Saccharomyces cerevisiae S288C: one gene and its partner. The protein of the gene in region 1 binds, or shares a complex with, the protein of each later gene. Each region holds a gene or a part of one and is shown on either strand. Other genes may lie near its edges. A codon is read from its position in the direction of its gene.

Region 1 (3,503 bases):
GTTTATCGTTGAACAAGAAAACGTTGGATTTTGCCACTTGGAGACCATGTCTTGCTTTGGTGAATTCAAGCATGGTTTGGTGGGGCTAGAATCTTTACTAAAACAAAGGCTACAGGACGCTCCAGAGGAATCTTATACTAGAAGACTATTCAACGACTCTGCATTGTTAGATGCCAAGATCAAGGAAGAAGCTGAAGAACTGACTGAGGCAAAGGGTAAGAAGGAGCTTTCTTGGGAGGCTGCCGATTTGTTCTACTTTGCACTGGCCAAATTAGTGGCCAACGATGTTTCATTGAAGGACGTCGAGAATAATCTGAATATGAAGCATCTGAAGGTTACAAGACGGAAAGGTGATGCTAAGCCAAAGTTTGTTGGACAACCAAAGGCTGAAGAAGAAAAACTGACCGGTCCAATTCACTTGGACGTGGTGAAGGCTTCCGACAAAGTTGGTGTGCAGAAGGCTTTGAGCAGACCAATCCAAAAGACTTCTGAAATTATGCATTTAGTCAATCCGATCATCGAAAATGTTAGAGACAAAGGTAACTCTGCCCTTTTGGAGTACACAGAAAAGTTTGATGGTGTAAAATTATCCAATCCTGTTCTTAATGCTCCATTCCCAGAAGAATACTTTGAAGGTTTAACCGAGGAAATGAAGGAAGCTTTGGACCTTTCAATTGAAAACGTCCGCAAATTCCATGCTGCTCAATTGCCAACAGAGACTCTTGAAGTTGAAACCCAACCTGGTGTCTTGTGTTCCAGATTCCCTCGTCCTATTGAAAAAGTTGGTTTGTATATCCCTGGTGGCACTGCCATTTTACCAAGTACTGCATTAATGCTTGGTGTTCCAGCACAAGTTGCCCAATGTAAGGAGATTGTGTTTGCATCTCCACCAAGAAAATCTGATGGTAAAGTTTCACCCGAAGTTGTTTATGTCGCAGAAAAAGTTGGCGCTTCCAAGATTGTTCTAGCTGGTGGTGCCCAAGCCGTTGCTGCTATGGCTTACGGGACAGAAACTATTCCTAAAGTGGATAAGATCTTGGGTCCAGGTAATCAATTTGTGACTGCCGCCAAAATGTATGTTCAAAATGACACTCAAGCTCTATGTTCCATTGATATGCCAGCTGGCCCAAGTGAAGTTTTGGTTATTGCCGATGAAGATGCCGATGTGGATTTTGTTGCAAGTGATTTGCTATCGCAAGCTGAACACGGTATTGACTCCCAAGTTATCCTTGTTGGTGTTAACTTGAGCGAAAAGAAAATTCAAGAGATTCAAGATGCTGTCCACAATCAAGCTTTACAACTGCCACGTGTGGATATTGTTCGTAAATGTATTGCTCACAGTACGATCGTTCTTTGTGACGGTTACGAAGAAGCCCTTGAAATGTCCAACCAATATGCACCAGAACATTTGATTCTACAAATCGCCAATGCTAACGATTATGTTAAATTGGTTGACAATGCAGGGTCCGTATTTGTGGGTGCTTACACTCCAGAATCGTGCGGTGACTATTCAAGTGGTACTAACCATACATTACCAACCTATGGTTACGCTAGGCAGTACAGTGGTGCCAACACTGCAACCTTCCAAAAGTTTATCACTGCCCAAAACATTACCCCTGAAGGTTTAGAAAACATCGGTAGAGCTGTTATGTGCGTTGCCAAGAAGGAGGGTCTAGACGGTCACAGAAACGCTGTGAAAATCAGAATGAGTAAGCTTGGGTTGATCCCAAAGGATTTCCAGTAGATTATTTCTAACTTGGAAACCGAACACTAACGAAAATAATATGTATATATACATATATATATCAAACAAAATACAGTCTTGAATGAATAGAGATACACTATGTAATGAATGGTAACGTAAAAATTGTAATTTTGGATTAAAAGAGAGGTAGTAGCAAGAGTGGGTATCAAATAGCGATTAATAAATGAATATCCTTATTGTCATCACTTCGAACGACGTAAGTTAAATTGGAAAATTTTTCACTTTTTGGTCACCTAAGAAATAAGCAGGAAAAAGAAGAGAACATTGAGAGGATGGTAAAGCAAGAGGCATTTAGGGCGAACGAACTAGGTAACAGATAACAACCTCAGATAGAGTGTTACGGGATGGGTATTGAAGACATTAGCGCCATGAAGAACGGGTTTATAGTGGTGCCGTTCAAATTACCGGATCACAAGGCACTACCCAAAAGCCAGGAAGCTTCGTTGCATTTCATGTTTGCTAAAAGACACCAGAGTTCAAATTCCAACGAGTCTGACTGTTTGTTTTTGGTCAACCTTCCATTATTATCTAACATAGAGCACATGAAGAAATTTGTCGGGCAGCTCTGTGGGAAATACGATACAGTATCGCATGTAGAGGAACTACTATATAACGATGAATTTGGATTACATGAAGTAGATTTATCGGCATTGACCTCCGATCTGATGTCCTCCACTGACGTCAACGAGAAGAGATACACACCAAGAAACACGGCGCTATTAAAATTTGTTGATGCTGCAAGTATAAATAACTGCTGGAATGCTTTGAAAAAATACTCGAATTTGCATGCCAAACATCCAAATGAACTATTTGAATGGACATATACGACTCCATCATTCACAACTTTTGTTAACTTCTACAAACCACTGGATATTGATTATTTGAAAGAAGATATTCATACACATATGGCAATTTTTGAACAGCGTGAAGCTCAAGCACAAGAGGATGTTCAAAGTTCTATAGTGGATGAGGATGGATTCACATTAGTTGTAGGAAAGAACACCAAGTCATTGAATTCCATAAGAAAGAAAATATTAAACAAAAATCCATTATCCAAACATGAAAATAAGGCCAAGCCAATTTCAAATATAGATAAAAAGGCAAAGAAAGATTTCTATAGATTTCAGGTCAGAGAACGTAAAAAACAGGAGATCAATCAACTGTTAAGTAAATTTAAGGAAGATCAAGAAAGAATCAAGGTAATGAAAGCTAAGAGAAAATTCAATCCATACACTTAAACCACCATCCTCGTCATCATATTCAACATATCTCAATATATCTATAAAACTAATAATATAATATAACATAATATAGTATAATAGTATAAGTTTAAAGGCATCAATAATTTTTTTCTTTCATATATATTCTGCTAGCATACATGTTATCCTATTCGTGTAAGTTTAGTATGATGATGTGCATGACAACTGCACATTAGAGTCTTCCACCGGGGGTGACATTGTCACTTCCGTTCATCATTGCTACTTCTTCGAAATCACCTCTTCTTCTTAACATAATGGCGGGGTGCAAACCCTGTTGCTTTAAGTTCTTGAATATGATCACAGGCTTTTCGTTCAATTCTAACAGCCTCTCTTGATCCCCATAGCAAATGACCAAGACATATTGTCTCCAATCCTGATCTGCTAAGTTATGTCTTTTCATTGCGTTTTTCAAGATCCGTTCGCAGGAGTCTTCTTTAGATGCACGCAACTGTTTTAACGCCTCGTTAGGTGATGGCCCC
Region 2 (3,757 bases), on another chromosome or scaffold:
CAGAGTAATAAATTTTACTCTTTCCATTGACCCAAATGTAGCAGCTAAAGAAGTTTCTAAATTATTGTACTTACCCAAAGGTAACTGTACATCGTAACACAGATCGTACTTCAAATTGTCAAAACGGCTAATATTAGTCAAAAAAATATTTGAGAATTGGTCTTGAACAACGTTGTTTAGCATTCTCAATGTTTCACCGGCATATTCTTTCAAAATTTGATAAGAAGAAACAGTCATTTTTGTAAGAATATTGACCTTGGTTGACTTATCAAATAAGGTTGGAGTTTGGAAACCCTCATCAATATATTTAGAAGCTGGTGAACTGGAGGAATTCTCTGGATTAGAATGAAATTGTAAATGGCCGTCGTGGCACAAATCCATAGTGGCTAAGTATTTTATTACACCTTTAAACAATTGGTATGATGAAAACCCGTGAAGTAATATCTTGTTACTATTTATACCACCACCGTTTAATAACGCTGCCATCAAGATAGTAAATTCAAAAGTACCGAATCCACCCAATGAACCAGAATGCGACATATTGGATGAAAACCCACGTTGCTGCAGCCATAATCTACCTAAAACAGTAGCTTCAACAAAAGATTCTGTTTGTTTCTTCGTCTTGTATAAATACTTCAGGTAGTTTTCATGTGTTGAAGAAGATAACACTGAAAAATTGTAAAGAGGAGTGGCTGGTAAAGATTGCTCTTTGCTTTCTTGTGCTATTCTAATACAGTTTCTATTGGGTAACAGTTTTTTTGGTTCAAAGACTTTGTATGGGAAACCAATAAGCAAGTTGATAGAGAATCTGGTCTTGTAAAAGTTATAATCAGAAAGAGAATCACCCGTTGGTTTGGAACAACTAATTCTTAAAATTGGTAAAAGCGGATCATTATCAAAATAAGAATACTCGAGTTGCAAAAATGAGTCTAATTTATCTTTTTTCAATAATATCAATAGGTGGTGGGTTAGGTATGCTAAATAAACGCTCCTCTTGTGTAAGCACCTGAAATTTAAGAAATCTTTTTTTTCGAACAACTCCTTTGGCATTGTTAGTAAAGTATCAATGGAAGAGCCGTTAGGTTGATAAATTCCAGCTTTAAGAGCAAAGGAGCCAATTAAGGAGATGTCTGGTTTCTTGTAATTGAATTTATAATTAGTATTTTGAGGAATAGGTTTGGGGTCAACAAATGGAACAGAAACAATCTTGTTTTTGAAGAAGGAGTCCACTTCAGCTAATGACTTTTCCTCCCAATCAGGAATTTCCTGGAGAATATCATATAACTTGTGTAGAAATTTTTCGACTTTCAGAACATGTTTTTGTTTTAACTTCACTTGCTCCAGTAATTCGTCAATTTGTAACTTGAAAATATTAGACTTGAATAATTCAGCCGTTTCTCTAGCTATGTGAATATCATAGGACTCTGTTGCAGTAACCTTTCCATTGTGGCGAGTCGCAGCAGTGTTAGTAGCGACCTCGTTACTTTCAGGTGAAGTATCGCTTTCGTCGTTTTCTTGCTCGGGCACGGTACGCTCGTTGATGGCTTGACTACTGTGATCATTTTCTTTGGATCCGTTGTCAGTTGTGCTGTCCTGTGTGGAATGTTTCTTTTGCACTTTAACAATATTCTGGTCAGAAGTCTCAGATGCTTTTCTTTTAACACTTGTAGCCATGGTATATGAAGGAGATCCTTTGTAAAATTTCTATGAAAACTATAATGTTCTACCCCAAAGTGATTATACCTGTGGTTTCAATAATTCAATCAGAGGATAAATCTAACAAAGGAAACTTTGAAGATTTCTTGGAGTTGGTTCTTAAAGTGAAAGCAAATATCTGGCCTTCAAAAAAGCAAAATGAAAACGTCCTGTTTCCAAGTATAAGAGCTGCCGATTTAAATTCTATTAAAAAATAGAATGGAAAAGTATAAGATTAAAACCCTTTGGTTTGCTTGAGATTCTTGACGTAAAGTGCTAGTGGTACATATTGAAATTATCATTTGGTTAAATTTTCCAAATTACAATTGAAATTTTTCAACGGCATGCAGCGAGCCGTAGGCCGACGTTCCCAGGCAGTGGCCACCACCGGTCCTGCCTAAATCTTTACTCGGCCCTGGGCCAACCTTCATGGATGGCGCGATAATTCTATACCGGTCGCCCACCGGATGGACAGAACTTCCGTACAACAAGCAAAAAAAGAGATATATAAAATTATGCCACCTGTCAGAATTGAACTAACGACCTTTGCATTACAAGTGCAACGCTCTACCACTAAGCTAAGGAGGCAAATTTTTACCAAGAGACTCAGATTTGAGAACTAGGAATTTGTTAAAAATAATGAATACGCACATGAAACATAAAGGGATTGTCTAAAACTATAATTGCAAATTTTCTAAAGAAAAGTGAGGTCACCTACCATCAAAACCAACATATATACAAATAAGGGTACTTTTCAAATTCACAATGTGAATTAGATACACAGAAAAAGAGTTACTTTTAGACTAGAAGATGTCTTAGCATTTTGGTTAGTTTGCTATATATCAAATGGTAGCGCTTGCTCAAAATTAAAGCTTACAGTTGTTCTAAAGGAAGGATAGTTTGAACTATATTATAAATTTATAACCAAAATCACTGGGGTATATAAACGATCGCCAATTAGCCAAAAGAATATGATAAAGTTATCAGAAAACTTGGGACGTATTCGAAGTATGTTATTTCTTGATAAGCTTAAGAAATACATTGGATACTTTGAAGAAGCACCTATGCTTTACAGAAAATTGGAGGGGCGGATAATAACAGTTTCAACTAGACGGAAAAATCGATACAAGATAAATTTGGAGGTACGGCAAAAGATTCGCTACCGAGCCTAAATATCCACTTCGTTACGTTCATCCACATGAAGATGTGAACAGGTGTTGGTATTCTCGTGTCCACAGCAGCATCAAAATCAGCAGGCCATGGATAAACTTTCCGTTGTCATAGCAGTGGCGCGGTCGATTCCCTATAATCACGACGATAGGACTGTAGTTGTTATCTTGACATACATCAGTATGCATGCTGAAATTTCCATCGTCGAGCACTATCAGAGCCACGTCCGGTATGTGTTGGAAAACGATCATTTCTTCATTGGCTAGTGTTCACGGCACTAGCATATTATTGTATATGACACAAGAATTAAGGCCCAAGCCATGGGATATAGTTATTGATTTCAGTGGAATCCGAAACTAAGATTAATAATGTAACAGGATATTGAACGACAGAATGCAAAAAGGAAAAAAATAGTAGCACTATTACTTAAAAATACCGATCTCCATTCATGGATCTTTGATCGTCATGAAGAACCCCTAATACATTCCGTATATTTTACCGAATAATGGAAACCTAGAAATTACCAGCAGATTCATCAATTCTTTAGTAGGCGCCTATTCTCGTGTGGAAACTATATTAAAGGGATTCGTCAATAACTAATCGTTACTCAGATTATCCCTATCAAATCGTGATAATATGTGGTAGGCCTCCATCTCTTCGCCAATTTTGCAAAACAACCTGAGAATTGGTCGTAATTGTAACCTAGAAAACTTGATATGAGCACAATTATAAGTTAAAATACGATACAATAATGTTGAGATTGGTTATTGATTAAATTCTATTGTTGTATATTACCAACTTACTCTCTATATTTGCGGTAGTGATAACCTCGTTAGAAACCTCAATCCATTGCAATTCTTTCCATGAACTTAGTATAAATTATAGAATATTA

Evidence for each region. The genes of interacting proteins can lie anywhere in the genome.
Region 2: the proteins of RRP7 (region 1) and UTP22 are in contact, whole or in part, in a crystal structure (PDB 4M5D), measured with the Saccharomyces cerevisiae proteins. Residues at the interface, in NP_009899.1 of Saccharomyces cerevisiae: Ile3 (codon at 2,116), Ile6 (codon at 2,125), Ala8 (codon at 2,131), Met9 (codon at 2,134), Lys10 (codon at 2,137), Asn11 (codon at 2,140), Phe13 (codon at 2,146), Val15 (codon at 2,152), Leu20 (codon at 2,167), Pro21 (codon at 2,170), Asp22 (codon at 2,173), His23 (codon at 2,176), Ala25 (codon at 2,182), Leu26 (codon at 2,185), Ser33 (codon at 2,206), Leu34 (codon at 2,209), His35 (codon at 2,212), Phe36 (codon at 2,215), Phe38 (codon at 2,221), Phe54 (codon at 2,269), Val56 (codon at 2,275), Asn57 (codon at 2,278), Leu58 (codon at 2,281), Pro59 (codon at 2,284), Leu60 (codon at 2,287), Leu61 (codon at 2,290), Glu92 (codon at 2,383), Phe93 (codon at 2,386), Gly94 (codon at 2,389), Leu95 (codon at 2,392); in NP_011604.3 of Saccharomyces cerevisiae: Asp794, Glu795, Ile796, Thr797, Ser798, Lys801, Ala802, Thr804, Ala805, Leu808, Phe824, Phe825, Ser826, Arg827, Glu829, Tyr833, Asn834, Leu835, Glu836, Val838, Leu862, Tyr863, Arg865, Ala866, Asn869, Ala870, Leu874, Glu877, Leu878, Thr1104.

Annotation. Positions count from the first base shown.
Region 1 is NC_001135.5:64,175-67,677, reverse strand, and holds RRP7 (Rrp7p), read left to right. Parts: upstream 1-2,109; coding exon 2,110-3,003; downstream 3,004-3,503. Other genes in the region: HIS4 (trifunctional histidinol dehydrogenase/phosphoribosyl-AMP cyclohydrolase/phosphoribosyl-ATP diphosphatase), read left to right, coding at 1-1,744; STE50 (Ste50p), read right to left, coding at 3,197-3,503. UniProt on the Saccharomyces cerevisiae protein: Plays an important role in the synthesis of 18S rRNA but is not required for the 5.8S and 25S pathway. Is necessary for the cleavage at site A2. Is required for efficient association of RPS27 with the pre-ribosomal particle.
Region 2 is NC_001139.9:660,275-664,031, reverse strand, and holds the start of UTP22 (rRNA-processing protein UTP22), read right to left. Parts: upstream 1,675-3,757; coding exon 1-1,674. UniProt on the Saccharomyces cerevisiae protein: Involved in nucleolar processing of pre-18S ribosomal RNA and ribosome assembly.